2 linked regions of the Rattus norvegicus genome follow. The protein of the gene in region 1 purifies or fractionates together with the protein of each later gene. This does not show direct contact. Links are inferred from orthologs where the notes say so. Each region holds a gene or a part of one and is shown on either strand. Other genes may lie near its edges.

The links.
Region 2: the proteins of Dapk1 (region 1) and Ifi30 purify together in Homo sapiens (affinity purification with mass spectrometry; 3 studies listed by BioGRID and IntAct, counting the BioPlex papers as one, with this or other methods). This does not show direct contact. The link is inferred for Rattus norvegicus from reciprocal best matches to the Homo sapiens genes DAPK1 and IFI30.

What each region holds. Positions count from the first base shown.
Region 1 is NC_086035.1:3,946,488-3,950,298, forward strand, and holds part of Dapk1 (death-associated protein kinase 1), read right to left. Parts: intron 3,786-3,811; coding exon 3,588-3,785; intron 2,691-3,587; coding exon 2,552-2,690; intron 1,094-2,551; coding exon 973-1,093; intron 1-972. UniProt on the Homo sapiens protein: Calcium/calmodulin-dependent serine/threonine kinase involved in multiple cellular signaling pathways that trigger cell survival, apoptosis, and autophagy.
Region 2 is NC_086034.1:18,708,031-18,712,451, reverse strand, and holds the start of Ifi30 (gamma-interferon-inducible lysosomal thiol reductase precursor), read right to left. Parts: upstream 2,883-4,421; 5' UTR 2,688-2,882; coding exon 2,565-2,687; intron 1,348-2,564; coding exon 1,165-1,347; intron 1,065-1,164; coding exon 990-1,064; intron 911-989; coding exon 818-910; intron 173-817; coding exon 20-172; intron 1-19. UniProt on the Homo sapiens protein: Lysosomal thiol reductase that can reduce protein disulfide bonds. May facilitate the complete unfolding of proteins destined for lysosomal degradation. Plays an important role in antigen processing.

The sequences.
Region 1 (3,811 bases):
CTCATCCAATGTGTCAATGAGAACAGTCTCATCCAATGTGTCAATGAGAACAGTCTCATCCAATGTGTCAATGAGAACACAGTCTCATCCAATGTGTCAATGAGAACAGTCTCTTCCAATGTGTCAATGAGAACAGTCTCATCCAATGTGTCAATGAGAACAGTCTCATCCAATGTGTCAATGAGAACAGTCTCATCCAATGTGTCAATGAGAACAGTCTCATCCAATGTGTCAATGAGAACACAGTCTCATCCAATGTGTCAATGAGAACAGTCTCTTCCAGTGTGTCAATGAGAACAGTCTCTTCAAGTGTGTCAATGAGAACACAGTCTCATCCATTGTGTCAATAAGAACAATCTCATCCAATGTGTCAAAGAGAACACAGTCTCATCCAATGTGTCAATGAGAATACAGTCTCATCCATTGTGTCAATGAGAATACAGTCTCATCCATTTTGTCAATGAGAACAGTCTCATCCAATGTGTCAATGAGAACAGTCTCATCCAATGTGTCAATGAGAACAGTCTCATCCAATGTGTCAATGAGAACAGTCTCATCCAGTGTGTCTTCACCCATCAATACACATCCTTTAGTAAATCTCATCAGTGACTACTTTTCTGTTCTGAATTTGTTACACACACTAAAATAAAGCAAACTAGAATTGGTGTTGGGATTTATAAAAAGAAATTTTATATTTAAAGAAGCCAGGAAACAAAATAAGAACTTGATGCACCCTGAGATGGTCCACTATTGGACCCTCTATCTCCTTCCTTGTCTATGTTGCTCTCTCTCTCTTCCTGCCTCTTCCAGAGAAACAGGAGAATCACACGGAAACAGACTTCATTCCCAGCTTCTACTGTCTACCTGTCCCCCTGAAAACCAAGCCAAACTGGGGCCACTAGAGCAGGGTCAGCGTGCTGGTCAGTGCTGGCATCCCCACAGTGGGGTCCCGGCCCCTCCATGTGTACTCACCGAGACAATCTGACTCCGTATTTCTTGCAGGTGATTCCGGAGAACCTTGATGTCCTTAGACCCAGATGCTCCTGCATCCAGCACAAACAGCTTATTTGAGACATGAAGGTCATTCCCAAACCTATGGCAAGAGCAGGAGTGAAATCAGCTCTCAGTCAACTTTAGGTCTTTCCACACAGGGGCCAAGTTCCTACTGGCCCTAATGGCCGATGGGAGGGAAGGAGGAAGGGTCGTGGTGACCCTGAAGGAGCCTCTCTGTCCCTGCTGTTGGGTGAATCCTGCTGGTCCCTCTGGTAAGTCATACCTGGTAATTGCACACCCTCAATCACATAATTGGGAGTCTGGGGTTTGAGCACAGGTAGAAGAAAAGAATGTAAATGTCAGAGCCACCTGATGCAGAGGCGTATGTGTTTACTTTCCGAGGGAGGGGAGGAAATACTGGTGGTGGTGCAGGGCTAAGATCACAAGCAGAATAAGAAAGTTACACATCTGACCTAAAAATGTTCACAAAAGACCACTTTGCATGGCGGAAGAAAACACTGTGTCTCTCACAGGTAATTCAACACCTGAGTGCCAGCATGCTACAGGAAGCTGCAAGTTCAATTTTGTGTTTTAAAGATTTGTTTTATTTTTTTATTCGTGTGTACACACCTCTGTGTATATACCACCTGTGTTTGGGAGCCCACAGAGGTCACAAGGGAACATTAGATCCCCTAGAACTGAAGTTACAGGCAGTTGCATGTGTGGGTGCTGGGAACAAATTTCAGGTCCTCTCGAAGAGCTGCCAGTGCCCTTAACTGCCAAGTTATCTCTCCAGCACCCAAGTTCAAACTTGTTGGTGGAGCCTTGAAGCCTGCTAGAGTTTGGATGAGGTCTGTCCTCTAGGGTGCCTGTGTTATAGGGGCCCTCTCCCCAGTGTGGTGATATGTGTTAACGAAGTAGTTTCTGTGGGACGTGTGAAGTATCAAGAGAGCCTAATCCCTAAACCTCTCTGAATTCCCACCCTTACATGCGCTCCACCATGATGCCACACACCGGGAAGTGATGTTATCCAGGGGACGTCACAAATGGGGCTTAGACCTCCCTCCTCCTAAGCTAAATACATCTGTTATTACCTACCCAACTTCAGGCATATCTTTACATTACCTAACATCACTAACAGATTCTAAACTTAAAGTTATGTTTTTATACTGCTTTATAAGAGAAACACAGGACTTGTATGATCGCACTGACAGGAGAAGCACTCCGATCTTCCCTATTCTTCCTGCCCCATTCCATGATGAGAGCAGAAGTCTGTGTGGAGGGTGCTGGGTGAGAACAGGAGAACTGTGATCTTTTGTGTCTCTCTGTGTCTAGAGAGATTTGTTTTGATGAAAATGAAAAACTCAACCAATGATGAAAGTTCCTTCAGCCACCACATGCCAGCCCACCCAGCATGACCACATGCCCTCTGCCCCATCATCTTACCGGATCGGTCATCCCCCAGGACAGATGCTCACCCTACCTCCTAAGAGGCTCTCCTCACCTGCTTCCACCAGCAGGCTGCCCTCACCTGTTCCCACCAGCCGGCCGCCCTCACCTGTTCCTGATCTCTTTCAGCAAGGATGTATCTTTATCATATCCAAACTCGCCCCCAGCAGGCCGAGGGATGTTCATGATGTCAGCATGTGTGGCCACCAGGACAACTCGGAGAGGGTTCTTCAGCTTGCCTCCAAATGCTGAGGGAGAAAGTATACCTTGTGAGAGTCTGATCTCTTCTCTGGCTGTGTTGGTCTCATGCCTAGACCACCTGTGTAGGTGATGTGTAACCTGCACACAGACTCAAGGGCTACATTATGGAGTGTGGCCTCTGGTCCTGGTCCTCCACAAGAGACCTCAGCAGAGATCAGAGCAGACTGCAACACAAAGAGTAGCTCTTAGGGGTGTCTTTAAATAGGCTTTGACATGCAGGCAGAGAATCTGCAACCAAAGTCAGCTTTCATGGTGGAGGGGGCAGCTGGGGCAGGGAGAAAGGAACCCTTCTGAATGTAGCCATACACCTGACACAGCCAAGAGAGAAGCTGTCTCTAACTCACACAGGCAGGGCCATTCCTCATAGAAGTGTTTCAAAAGAGATATGACAAGGGAGAAATAAGAGGCAAAATGGCTTCCTCTGGGAGGTCAGCCAGCTGATGTCATAAGCATGGGTTCCCTAGAGACAGAAGCTGGCTTCTGAACATCACCCTGCACAAAGACAACGAATACACTTGCAATAAATCTCACTGGGCCCAAAGTCCATTCCATCACCCTCTCCTCTAGCCAGTGTGCTGAGGCCAAGCCACTGCTCCTTTTCACCAAGGCTGCGTGGAGCTGCAGACTGAAGGGTAACCCTTCCACTGATGAATAGTTCAATACTCTCCAGAAGAAAGCAGGGGCCATGGATGGAAGACTCCGCTGTGCAGTCAGCAATGATGCCCTTAGCGCTGAATTGCACCAGAGGAGAGAAGTGGCTACCAAGGATGTCTCAGGACTGGGAGGAAGCCACAGCCAGGAGTGCCATTCTGTAGGGTGTGAGTGTAGCCAGTGTGACGACCTCAATAGAAACATCTCGGGGGGAAAGAAAGGACCTCACTCACCTATGGGTTCTTCAACTGAGACCAGAGACTTCAAGAAACTAAGCCAGAAAATCACTTGGTTCAGCTGGATCTCATAGGGTTCTTCGAGACTGAAAACGATGATGTGGATGGATGTGGGATCGTTGGCGGCGAAGTAGTCATAGCAACAGAAGTACACAGGGTTTCCAGAGAACTCCCATACGCTGAAATCACCAACTCCTGCAGGAGGAAGACAATGGCTAAAA
Region 2 (4,421 bases), on another chromosome or scaffold:
TCAGCTAGAGAGTTCTTACCTCGTTGACCAGGACCCAGGGCACATACTCATGGGGTGGCTGTAGGGCATCTGTGAGCTGGGCGTTCTCATGCATCAGCTCTGTGCCTCGTTTTCCGGTGGCACACTCCATGATGCTTTCTGGTGACACCTCTGGAACATACAGCTGCAGGCACTGTGAGAAGAGGAGGACACATTGCTTAGTTCACTCGTTATTTCGCCATCAGTCCCCAGGTGGCCCCAGATAAGCCTCTCCCCTCTCACTGTCTGCCTGGGTGGAGGTTCCTTGAAACTGAGTCTTTGGGTGCTCTTGCCTCCCAGTAACACCGGATTTGCAGCCTCTGCCCCCTGGTATCTCATTATCTCAGGGCCTTCTTACAAGATCCCTCTGCTGGCAACACCCTGCTCCTTCCTTGGTGTCTCCTAGGTGCTCGTCCTCCTTCATTCTCCAGTCATATCAAAGGGGCAGCGCTGGAAATGTCCCTCAGGTTCGAGGAGGCTGGGCGGCCACAGTAGCGATTGGAGAGTTGTGAATCAATCTTTGGACTTGGACGTTATTTCCCACAATGCCCTGGCTTATCTCCTGTCACCTATCTTGTGTCTACAGAGAGTGAAGATCCCAGGCTCTGCTCATAGATCTAAAGGTTTTCCCGTATAAAAACTATATGGGCAAAGTCACGCCCAGGGCTAGGGTAGTGTGATGTGGGGCAGAGCCGCTGCCTGGAACCCCCAAGTGAGGGCCTGGGGGCGTGGCTCTGGGGTGGAACCCCTGCGCAGATACTGGAGACCTGGCTGCGCAGCCTCCCACGCACTAACTCACCGGGCCCAGTTTCTTCTCCATGTCCTCCATCTCCTCCATACAGACGATGGTTAGGAATGCCGCCTCCTTTTCCAGCTTGTCCAGCAGACAGGCCTGGAGAAGCAGGCAAGTGTTATGGGGAGAAAGTGGCCAACCCTGCCTCCCTCCATGGCGGATCTGCACTCCAGCTTACCTCCACCTTGTTCAGTTTACACTCCAGCTCCCCGTGCTGGCACGTGAACTCCCATGTACCGCTGACATTTCTCTCCTGCAAGATAAGGATAGATCTTGGTGAGCGCAGGTGACCAGGCGTTCCTGTCCCAAGGCATCCCTCCCAGCTTCAGTCGCTTCCCGCCCCCCTCCAGCACCTGTGCGTTCCCGTAGGGCACCAGAGTGATGTTCATGATTTCCATAACCATCAGCCAGGTTGGGAACAAATTTCGGACGAGGAAGTAGCGACAAGCTCCACACAGGGACTCATAATAGAGGCTGACATTGACAGGTGGTGCAGAGAGCAACCGGCGTGGCCCGAAGAGGCACAGGTCGTGGGCCTGAAAGGAAGAGAGGCATCTGGTGAGGTGCAGCCCGGGTCATCCCCAGGCTTCCGAGCCCGGTCACCCCTGCAGAGGGCAGTCCTATGACAAGTTGCTTATAGTTCCGTTCAGCCTTGTGGCACTGGGACTAGAGGTCTCTGCGCATGTGGGGTGAGCGGTCTCCTGATGAGCCACGCCCCGGCCCCTCTGAGGTTTTCTAGTCTCTAGATCGTGTTCCGCAATCACAGTTTATCTACAAAAAACGGAACCTGACAGGCTCTCAAACAGTAGGTGGTCAGTGAATGCACAATCTTTAACTATATTCAGGAAGTGCTAAGACATGCATATTTCTAGCACTTGGGAGGCAGTGGAAGAGCTCAAGGCCAGCATGGTCTACTACATAGTGAGTTCCAGGACAGTCAGCGCTACACTGAGACTCTGTCCCGTCAACAAACAAAACAGAAAACCAAACCTAATCAAAACAATAACAAAACAAGAGAACTAAAGTAAAAGAAAAATAAGATATACATATTTCTAGTTGCCGCTCTCTCTCAGCCTTGTCTGTTTGGAGATGCACACTCTGAAGCCAAATACAAGCGCTCGCGCCCTCCTCCCTTCCCCCCTTTCTCCCCCTTCCTCCCTCTCTCCCCCGTGCCCCCTCACTCTATTTATTCTTCCTCTCCAGGGACCCAGGGGAACTTCACCCAGTCTGACGCCCGACTAGACACAGGAGGTGACTGATGCGTACAGACTTCCGGTCCCCAGGGAGGGCGGGCCAGAATCTGAGCACCGCTCTAGGTGCACGGGGCATGTGTTTGCTCCATGTCAGAAGCTCGTTAGCCCTCTCTTCTTTGGCTGGAACGCACGCGGTAAGCGACAAGAATTGCGTGAGAGTGGAGACCAGACAGTAGCTCAACAGGTCTGGAGCAGAACACTCCCCTACATGCCGCGCGCGTGCCCATCCCTCAGCTCTTGACTCAAACATATACCGTAGGTGGTTGATAAATGCTCAGGCAAGGCGGGCAGGGGATAGCTGCGCTTTTCAGACCTAAGAGGGGAAACGAAGGACGTGGACACGGTGCTCAGTGTCCGGGGACTGGATTAGGGGTGGTGGCCCTGAACCTGACAACTTTCCCTGGAGACTTTGGAATTCCCCGAATGAGTTCACGGAATAAGTGCAGAGAAGTCCCTATGCTGACAGACTGGCGGGCCCCTTCCTGCGTCGTGGTTCCTACCTTGCAGGTGGCTGCGCCCTCGGAGGATCCTTGCGGCAGGGACGCAGTGGCTGCTCTGGGAACCTCGGGTAGGAACAGCAGAAGCAAAAGGGACAAGAATGGTACGAGCGGAGAACAGGACATGGCTGAGGAGAAAAAAGCTTGGCCAGGCCGGGGAGGCGGGAGACTTTAAGCAAGTGGATGCTCCACCCACTGAGACCACGCCCACACAGGTTCCTCCTAACTCTGGGCCCCCTTTCCTCAAGGCTCCGCTCCAGCCAGGTGCTAGCCCCAAATCACGAGGCCACAGGACTCTGTCTAGCCTTGTGTTCTCCGCAGCCAGTATGTCCGGTCACGTGAGGCTTTTGGATCAAGGGACGGGAAGGAGGACTCCAGACAATAACCGACCGAGGGACATAAGGCAGAGTCCTCATGTCCTTCCTTTGAGCTCAGTGGAGGTCGGGGAGTGATACAGACTCCTCACTAATTCTTACCCCCACCACTCCAGGTCAGAGCAAGCCAGCCCCGTCGGGCACATCCCCCGACCTCTGCTGATTATGGCCCTAGCACAGAAGCTAGCTCAGCCAGGGCAACTCCCCATCTCTGAGGTCCTGGGCCCTGGCTTGGGTTGAGGACAGAGCTGGGGTACTTGCTTCCAGCAACAGAGTGTGTAGGCGGAGATGTGCCTGGACTCCAGGACTCTGCCTCTTTCCATCAGCTGCGGTTTCCCGGCCTCTGAAATGGGGCACGAGTGACACAATGACTGTGGATAGTCACCACGAAAAAAAAAAATCAGAGGTGACCTAGGCTGGGACTGGAGCCTCTGCACCAAGTCAGATTGAAAGCTGAACACTGGGTCCCTGGAGCAGTGACAAGCCACAGAACAGCAGCACCAGCAGGAAAAGTTCCAGTTCCAAGTGTGAGAAACCCTGGTTTTTTGTTCAGGAGACAGCAAGCTAGAGAGGATGGCGATTTCCAGCGTTCAGAAGCTGATAGGGACAGCTACAGGCTGAGAGGCTCTGTTCTAACCAAGACTTGGTATTCCCACCCCGACCCCTCTGCAAGCTCGGCAAAGATCTCCCCTGAGCCATGCCCCCAGCCCCTCATTGGGAGATTCTGAGGGAGGGGTTCTGCCGAGACATGCCCCCAAGCACAGGTAACATTTGTTTTCCTTAATGTTGATTCGTGTCTCTCCAACTAACAAGCTTGTGGTTCTGCCTCAGCTTCCCAGGATCTGGGACCACAAGGTACTGTTTGTCTTAGGTCAGTCGCAGGATGCAGCAAAGACCAAGGCCAACTGAACCCCATAGGGTAGTAGGTCAGGGATGGGCTCTGTCCATTCCTGGCCTAGCTGAGTCCAAAGGTGCTCTCAGAAGATAGTGACACACTGACTGGTGCAGATGGGGGAGGGGGAAGTACTCAGGGAAGTAGTCACAGGCACAAGTCTTGATGTGTTCCTAGCAGGACTATTAGGTTTCCCAATTTTGCTAATGAGCACAGGCCCTGGGCTCTTTCAGCAGGTGTGCAGAGGGGCCAGACCTTGGCCTCCCCTCACAACTCAGGGAGACTAGGGACAGGAGACACCTGCCTGAGTGGCTGAGAGGTTGTTGCCACCTCTCTTCCCGATGAGGAAGTTAGGGACCACATGGACGTCACTTGAGGACAGACACAGCTGGTGCCTGCCTGAGCACCCTGGAACTGGGACACCAGAGGAGGGGCTGTTCATGGGTTTGGGGTTCTTCCAGGATATGAGTATGGGGCAGGGCCAAGTTGCACCGCTGTGCTGCAAGACCACGGGCATGCTAAAGTCTATGTCGTTCACAACATGGGTTAGGAATTCCAGTCCCCAAAGACACTCAGCCAACAGGTACAATGTTT